Arabidopsis thaliana: one gene and its partner. The protein of the gene in region 2 interacts with the protein of the main gene of each other region in a pairwise test. Each region holds a gene or a part of one and is shown on either strand. Other genes may lie near its edges. The genes, in order: MYB11 and BT4.

Region 1 (4,452 bases), on a different chromosome or scaffold from region 2:
TGCAGAAAACTTACGAGCTGAAGATGTCCTGCATATTCATGCCGCCTCCTCCTCCTCCTCTTCCTCCATTTGCAGAAAACTGTTTAAGTCCCTCTTCACCATACTTGTTATATATCTCCCTCTTCTCCTCATCCGATAACACTTCATAAGCTATTACATCAAACACCAATACGTCAATTCTCAAAACTAAAAACGGGTGAGTTAACAAAGAGAGCAGAATCACACAAGTTGCAAAACGAAAATACCATTGTTGATCTCAGCGAATTTGCGAGTCGCTTCCTCATTTCCTTGATTCTTATCGGGATGATACTTCAAAGCTAGTTTCCTATAAGCTCTCTTGATCTGTTCATCAGATGCACCTTTCGGGACTTGCAACACATCGTAGTAACTCTTCCTAAATCCACAACACAGATTTTCTAAGCATTCACATTTTCCACACATTTCTGAAGGAATCGAAAGATGTTCTTACCCGGCAAGGACGCAGATGGCGTAGGAAAGAGCGAACAGTACGATACACAGCTCCGACCACCGAATCGCCATGGAAACGGAAATCGGATCTCTCCCAAGGATTACTCCAACCTGAGATTCGTTTCGATTTTAACAATGAAACCTCACAGAATGAACAAGAACGAAGATCTTCTTCGCTGATTTTTATGATTGGAAAACTCGAATCACTCTCTCTACTTGTTTTCGTGGAAACGATTCCAAAACTCGAGCCTCGTGGTCGGGTTACGTGTACACTGCAATGCTTAACCAATCAGGATTAAGTCTCTGACGATCGTAACCAATAAATATTAGCCACGTGGATAAACCAACGTCGAATCGCTGACTGTTCTTTTCGTCGACTTTAATGAGTACGACGTCGTTATACTCATATAATCTATACAAGGCGCATTAATAATGAAGCGGGCCTGTAACTCCCCTACGATTGTTATTCAATAAATGTGGCCTAACCCGATTAAAAACCCTAGGTTACTGGGCCCATACAAAATCGAGATTGTTTTATGTAAACCGATCTGGGGAGGCCAGATCCAAACTAGTTTTGCATATTTATGCATTATGGATTTTGTACCTACCATATTAAACTTGTTAATATAATGACAAAACCGCTGCTATGAGAAAATTTATTTCTTTAATCTTTATATAATCTAGACTATCTTAGTCACACATTACGTTGTGCATTGGTTAAACACTACTGGAGTATAAAACAAAAAAAGGTGGTTAAGTAATAAATACATATTTTGTTGCTTATTAATTACATGCAAAGAAACATAGACTGGTTTGGACAATCATGTCATATGTCAGGTCTCTTGATTCTTCGCATCTTCGACGAAACATTATTTACTAGACATACAATAATAACTAGACATCTCACACGAGTGGTCCCGATCCCCCACTAATACCATTTTACTGTCCATTGAAAAATAAAGAAACGTTGCTGACAATAGTAAACTAAATAAAATTGGTGTTTACATATTTTCCACGATACGAAGTAAAATATTGAGAAAGTATTACGCTTATGATTTTATTAATTGTTAGATGATTAACTGAATCCGAATTGAGCAGTATGATTAGAAACAAGTCAGAAATAATAAATGTATAACTAGTATTTAAAAAAAAAAAAAATGTATAACTAGTATTTAAAAACTATAGTTAGCATCTAATTAGAGACACTAGGACGACCCAGCTGGACAGCTGGTTAGTAGCTCTCGACCTATGATGAGCGCCTACGACTTTTGTTTCAACATAGACAAACGTGGCTCGTTCTATCACCTGAATATATAACCCACTCCTCTCTATTCTTGCATGTCACTCCTATAAATATTTAATACTAAACCAATCACTTTTTGTTGTGTCGTCACTTTACTTCTCTTTAAATAATCTCTTTCTCTAGTGATTGACTTTAGGAACAAGTGAAGTGAGTGATTTTTAATAATCGCCGGCCGAGAGAATGGGAAGGGCGCCGTGCTGTGAGAAGGTAGGAATTAAGAAGGGGCGCTGGACGGCGGAGGAAGACCGGACTCTCTCCGACTACATTCAGTCCAACGGCGAAGGATCATGGCGTTCTCTTCCCAAAAATGCCGGTAAAGTTTTTTTTATCTATACAGTACTCTGTCTCTCGACTATCGCATGCATCTCATAAGATAGTTTTTTTGTTTGGTCAAAATTTATAAGAGAATCTATATGCATCGAGAAGTTAATTAATCTTACGTACGGTTCAATTATACACCATGAGTTGTAAAAAAAATTAAAATAGAGACTTGATTTTTTTTTTTTCTATTTAATGTATCAGTTTCTATAAGGAATGCATAATATTTTAAAGTACATAAAGTGTTTATTGATAATTCAGACCAAATTGCCTTCTTGTTTTATTTACATGTATATATGGACTGTAACATCACAAATAAAACGATAATTTATTTCAATATTTAGGAAAAGATGAGTAATCGCTGCAGGCATTATTATGCCTTAATTAAAATCTGACGTACATTTTAAAAAGGGCTAAAGAGATGTGGAAAGAGCTGTAGATTGAGATGGATAAACTATTTGAGATCAGACATCAAGAGAGGAAACATAACTCCCGAAGAAGAGGACGTCATTGTTAAACTGCATTCCACTTTGGGAACCAGGTAACTTTTTCATTTGAACAAAAGTTTATTAATGTCGATATATTTCCAATAGAAAAAGTACACTATCACGTGAAATCATAAATCAAACTGTTGCTGTGTAACGTCGTGAAAAAAAACGTTTTTACAACAAAAAATAAGAATAGCGTCAACGCTAATTAAATTGCAGGTGGTCAACAATTGCGAGCAATCTACCGGGAAGAACAGACAACGAAATAAAAAACTATTGGAATTCTCATCTCAGCCGTAAACTCCACGGTTACTTCAGAAAACCAACTGTCGCCAATACCGTCGAGAATGCGCCTCCGCCTCCTAAGCGTAGACCTGGAAGAACCAGCAGATCCGCCATGAAACCCAAATTTATCCTAAACCCTAAAAACCACAAAACCCCTAATTCTTTTAAAGCAAACAAAAGTGACATCGTTTTGCCAACTACGACAATAGAGAATGGAGAGGGAGACAAAGAAGACGCATTAATGGTGTTGTCAAGTAGTAGCTTAAGTGGAGCAGAGGAACCCGGTTTAGGACCATGTGGTTATGGAGACGATGGCGATTGTAACCCAAGCATTAATGGCGACGATGGAGCTTTGTGTCTCAATGACGACATTTTCGATTCTTGTTTTCTATTGGACGACTCTCATGCTGTCCACGTGTCCTCATGTGAGTCGAACAACGTAAAAAACTCTGAGCCATATGGAGGGATGTCAGTTGGGCACAAAAATATCGAAACGATGGCTGATGATTTCGTTGACTGGGACTTTGTATGGAGAGAAGGTCAAACCCTTTGGGACGAAAAAGAGGATCTTGATTCGGTTTTGTCGAGGCTGTTAGATGGAGAGGAAATGGAATCTGAGATCAGACAAAGGGACTCCAACGACTTTGGAGAACCGTTGGATATTGACGAAGAAAACAAGATGGCTGCTTGGCTTTTGTCTTGAAAGATTTGACACCATGCATATGCCTTTTTCTCCGTTAGATTTTAGCAAAGACCCCACGTGGCAGGATCTGGTCGGTTTGTCAATAGAACATGTTTGTCCCCTAGCGTTCGTTTTTTAGTTTTAAATGTATTTATATTCTTTTTTATTTCTTTTCATGTGTAAATACGATTTTGGCGGTGGCAAATAAACAAAATAAAGTCGATCTTCTTAGTTCAATTACATATAAGCGATCCATTGATGATTACACCATTGATAGCCAACTTAAGTAATCTTTCGACTTTCGTATATATGTATACAAATATAATAAGAAATTTAAAATACAAAAAAAATATAAATAAAATTCAGTTCCATATTGTGAATCAGCAATTCTCACTATTGGTACATAGTCCAACACTTGCTAGTTGCATTCTAGGTGGAAGTATTTCAAAGAAACAAGTTTCTCTGATAGACTAATAATAGACCAAAACCCGAGCAAATTTCAAAGCATGTCGCCAACCACAACTCTTTTTTGTGTGTAAATGTTCACTGGTAAAGTGGTAATTAATGAACGTTTTGAATTTTGATTAAAAGCTATAAGACCATCTCCAACGAGAGGATGTAATCAAAAAATTGTTGGGCTCTCTTGTTTAATGACAATAAAAATAAATTAAAACTGATAAAAATCAAGAGAGTCGGCTTTCTGGAGAGAGTTTTGAGAATTTGAGAGAACCGTCGATGTGGCAACATGTGATTGGGTTTTCAATTTCAACAAAAAAATAAATGTGTGCGCGTTCTGTTCTATCTTCTTTCTCCTCTCTGCCCAAACGAAATTGACCAAAAGATGCAAAGCCCAATCATCGTTTCTTCTGAAAACTTTTCGCATTTGATATCTTTTCTTTGAAACTGAA
Region 2 (4,599 bases):
CGTAACAAATAAGGAACCTTTTTTTTCTTAGTTTTTTATTTGTCAGCAATTTAAATATAGATAGATATATATATGAAAATTTCGTAATTTCTTGATTTTGGTTAAGTTTTGTGTTTCTTTGTTGTTGAAGGAATCAGAACCCAATACGAAAGTGATTAGAAAAAGGGATTTTGAAAGGAGAAGAAAATATATACTACACATGATACGATCATTGTTGAGGATTTGGTTTTGTGACAATGAATGTTTCCAACATTACTAATTTAATGAAATAGAAACATGTGATGTGAGTGAGGCCGATTTTGTGTACACTTGTACCACGTCCTCTCAGCTCTTACTGCTTTTGTCTTGTTCTACGTCACTTTTTCCCACCACGATCTTTTCGTTTCCTTTTTTCCATATTTGGATTTATTAAAAATAACAAAGCAAGTTGGGTCCTATAAAATTTGGTAGATTCTTCTTCTTCTGTTCATTTCACAACAAGATGACTCACTGAGCTTATTACCAATTTTGCCACTTAATCACTAAACCGATCCGTAGACCGGATTTGATATTCCAGAGACTCTCTTGGCCGACCAAAATATGTGTCATTTATTCAAACTCATTATGTTACACTTGTTTTAAAGATAGGATCACAAGAAACGCTTAAAACTCGCCCTTCTTGAGATTGACAAAATGTTTTTTAACAGTTTGTCACCGGTAAAAAGAAAGGAGAGCCTCCGATTTTCTTACTCCCCAATACATTCTTCACCAGAAGTTTCCATCTCGACTCATCTTTCTTGCTCTGTTTCTCCATCTTCTCCTTAAGGTTTCTGCATAGAGGGACTCGACATTGATCAGAACCTGCGCAAACACGTGAATGCAGTTCAAGGAGTTGCCACATTCTCTTGCAATGCACGCAACCTCCTGGAACTCTTAGCTTACAGCCTGCGAAATGCCGGATCAGTGATTCTAATCCCTTGCAAGCTTCATAGTTACACGTTGCATGGTTCGGTTTGAAATCTTTATCGTGTGGCCCTATTGTTTTACATCCATCTCTGCATATATGAACAAGTGCTTCCATTGCTTCGTATAGCTGCGAATATATCCTCTGATCATTGCGTTTTCTCATCCTCTCTTTCCGCGTCTGCGTTTATGTTCAAGATTTAGAATTTAGGAGAAAATACAGGGAAAAAAGGAAGTTTATTAAATCACTACTTACATTTGCTTCGATGATTACTGAGTCTCTAACTTCTTTCTCAAGAAAGGGATGGCTTTTCTTCATAGCTGTCCATGCTTCTGTCGCAGAGAGTTCGTTAAAGTGTTTCATGATCATACGGTGAGATATGAGGCTAAGCCGAGGGAAATCACACAGCAGCGCAAGCTGGAACACATCAACCACATTCTCAGTGGTAAGCAAACCATGTTCTAGATGCCATTCACAGACCCGTTTCAGCTGAGGAACCACGTACGCGTGTGACAGAAGTAGCAAATGCATGATAAACTCGTTCATTTCTTCTTTCTCATAGCTACACAAAGGAAATCAGATTTCGTCAGTGAAAAGATCATAAGACGAATGTTAAAAGAGGCAGAGCAAATAAATATAGAGAGCAAGAAGAAATGGAATTTATATATACCAAGAAGAGTAGAGGAAACGGATAAAAACTCGCACAGCATCATGAGGGACACCTCGGATTGATATTGTATGCCACTTGCCATGTCTCTTGGCTTGCTTCAACATGCCTTTGATCACAGTGGAAGCAGTTCCCTATTAATTCAAGAAAGACAATGTCCATATCAACCAAGTCTAGACCTTTCTAATCAACTGCTAAAGTCTGTATTCGCTTAGCTAAAGATCCTAACTACACATTGATAATTATGGTCAAAGGAGTTATAAGGAGAGCTTACAAGGATGTTGGCATGAGCATAGATGATACTGCCATTATCTGTATAGATGACTACATCAGCTTTGTATCCGTCATTGAAAAGACGATCCCACATATCTCTTGTGGCTGTCGAAACGCTGCTATGCCCAAGTTTTTTCTTGAGTCCATCAGATTTTGATGGAAGAGGAGGAGGAATTGGCACAGAAGATGAATCTGCAGATTTGAAAGATTGATGAAGATCAACACAACCTGTCACCATTCTCTTGTTTAGCTTATCTTCTCTTCCCTGCATCAATCAAATGAAAATATATATTGTCGATTCTTTAGCCACAGATAAACTTCATTGTCATTTCTACACGAAATATGTGACTCAGACAACAATTTTCACAGCATTATGTAACCAGATCTCATTTACGATTACAAATCGAATAGGATAAGAACAAATCTCTACATATATATTCACACGAAAATATCAATCAGAAATAACAAGAATTCTTGAAACAGATCGATAGAAAATGTAAGAACAAGAATCAATCAATGCTCTAATTTGTTCCGACATATATACCTTGAAAAGATTCAGACCACAGAATCAGGTTGCTTCGAAGAGGCAAGTCAAACAAAATTAACGAGAAAATCTTCTCCTTGGTAGAAAGAGCATGAGAAGAAACTCTCTCTATAGAGAAGCTTGAGAGATCAGAGATCTCTTACCATTATATAAACACACACACTCACAAAAACAATAGAAGACGACAAAAAAAATCCCACCGAAAGGATAATTTATTGTTTTAATTTCCTTATTATCTCACTTTTTTCTTACTTTTGTGTTCAATAATTTGAAGATATTTTCTTGGTTCATATCATCAACAGAGACACCCACCTGCGAAAATTACCCGAGAGGCGCGTGGAGTCTACGGTTACGAAACGGACGGCTGAGAATCCACGCGCCTTAACGGCCTTTTTTCCTCGTTCTTGAAAAAGCTTTCGTCAAGTTGGTTTTATTATCGGCTTTATCAATTGAAACACGACTCTGCATGTTTTTTTTTTATAAATGATTTAATTTAAGAGCCGTACAAAAACAGATCAGTGTGTCCTTTGTTTTTTTTGTTCTTGTTCGGCGTTACACAGCTCATAATTAGCTGTTCGTTTTTTCAAACTTTTATCCGTATTATTATCCTTTCTTCTTCAAAGATAAATTTAGATTAGTCTTAATTTTAACCACATGATCAGATACTCTCTTCAAAAATGTTAACTAATCGTGAATTATGTTGAGGTCCGCAAAATTGCGTCATAAATATTTTACTGGTCTCTCTTCATATTTCTTAGCTTCGCTTGAATTGATTGTTACCCTTTTTTCCCTTTTTTTCTGTGTTTACTATAATGCCACGTTTCTTCTATCGAATAATCTAAAACAGAAGAAGAAGAAGTCAAAATGCTTTTTATATGATCATTTTCTTGTATTTTTTTTTAGTTTTTGATCGGAGTAAAGTTATAAGAACTTCAAAAAAAAAAAAAAAAAAAAAATGCATGATGATGCCAATCTTTTTCTAACTTTTAAAGAGTATTGGAACATAATACATATATCATGTAAACTGATATTTTTAATTGTAATTTTATATCATATACGGATTTAATTGTAATTTGAGCATCACCCAGTTGTGCAATTGTAGTTATCACAGAAGTGCACATTGCAATGTTGTTGAACAACAGAAATACCTTGACATCATCTCACTGACCCATGCAGCCATGCCTAAACTTGGACCAGAACTCATGTAACCACCGGGTAATGTCAAACCTGAACTCTGAACTCTCAGGTTAGTTAAACTCATCTCTTGTTGTTTCCTTAATTCTAAATCATCACTAAACCTGTATTAAAGTGTCCCAAATTTTTTAGATAGAGATGTATAGATGCACATTTAACCCACCTGAGGAAGAACTTATTAACTATTACTGGAATAACAAGATCACCAGAGAATGATGATCCAAATAAAGGCAACGAATTTGAAGTTCTACTACATTTTCTTCCATTTTCTCCATTATTTTGCAAATACATAAACACATAAAACGAATTTATTTCCATTTTTCCCAGAAATATATAAGAACAAGCTAAAACACAGGGATACATGAATCCTCTCAGAAATCAGAGCATCGACCACGTTGTTCCCAATCGCCGTACCGAGTCGGTTCAGGACCTCTAGGCCCTCCAATCTCACCAGTATCTTCGTTCACAAACTCTCCACCTCCACCACCTTCTCCTTCCTCTTCTTCTTCCTTCTGCATCTGCAGATTCTGTTGAAGATTCTGATCTGGCTTCACGTCCCGGTTCAGATCCTGATTCGGAGATGGAGCTTGCGGCGGAGGAGGTGTACCGGAGCTTAGAAACCGTGACACTGGCTCGAGGAATCTAGAGGAGACGGATCGGCTTGGAGCGATCAAACGTACGATGTTGTTCGTCGCCATTGTTAGATCAGATGTGTCGGCCAAATCAAGAAAGAGATCCGACCTTCACGGTTTGTGATAGTATAGGGTTCGATAGTCATTTAGGTTGGGCCATAATTGGATAATAAGCCCAGTAGTATCTAGGCCCAATCATTTACATGTTTATAAATAAATTAAGAGAATTAGAGAGTAAATTTGGCCCAGTATAATTATGTTTAACAAGCCCATCAGGAGCTAGGCCTAACATGTTTATAAAACAAATAGGAGAGAATTAGAGGGTAAAGTTGACGTGGGCTGATTT

Evidence for each region.
Region 1: the proteins of BT4 (region 2) and MYB11 interact in a two-hybrid assay, tested with the Arabidopsis thaliana proteins (one large-scale study listed by BioGRID).

Annotation. Positions count from the first base shown.
Region 1 is NC_003074.8:23,152,807-23,157,258, forward strand, and holds MYB11 (myb domain protein 11), read left to right. Parts: upstream 1-1,823; 5' UTR 1,824-1,951; coding exon 1,952-2,084; intron 2,085-2,500; coding exon 2,501-2,630; coding exon of another isoform or gene 2,631-2,634; intron 2,635-2,796; coding exon 2,797-3,565; 3' UTR 3,566-3,779; downstream 3,780-4,452. Other genes in the region: ATERDJ3B (DNAJ heat shock family protein), read right to left, coding at 15-150, 246-394, 470-540; AT3G62615 (uncharacterized protein), read right to left, coding at 2,554-2,634, 3,016-3,048. UniProt on the Arabidopsis thaliana protein: Modulates overall growth by reducing the proliferation activity of meristematic cells and delaying development. Flavonol-specific transcription activator involved in the regulation of several genes of flavonoid biosynthesis.
Region 2 is NC_003076.8:26,930,376-26,934,974, forward strand, and holds BT4 (BTB and TAZ domain protein 4), read right to left. Parts: upstream 2,451-4,599; 5' UTR 2,155-2,450; coding exon 1,885-2,154; intron 1,745-1,884; coding exon 1,614-1,744; intron 1,506-1,613; coding exon 1,199-1,505; intron 1,124-1,198; coding exon 680-1,123; 3' UTR 565-679; downstream 1-564. Other genes in the region: AT5G67490 (succinate dehydrogenase assembly factor), read right to left, coding at 3,993-4,319. UniProt on the Arabidopsis thaliana protein: May act as a substrate-specific adapter of an E3 ubiquitin-protein ligase complex (CUL3-RBX1-BTB) which mediates the ubiquitination and subsequent proteasomal degradation of target proteins.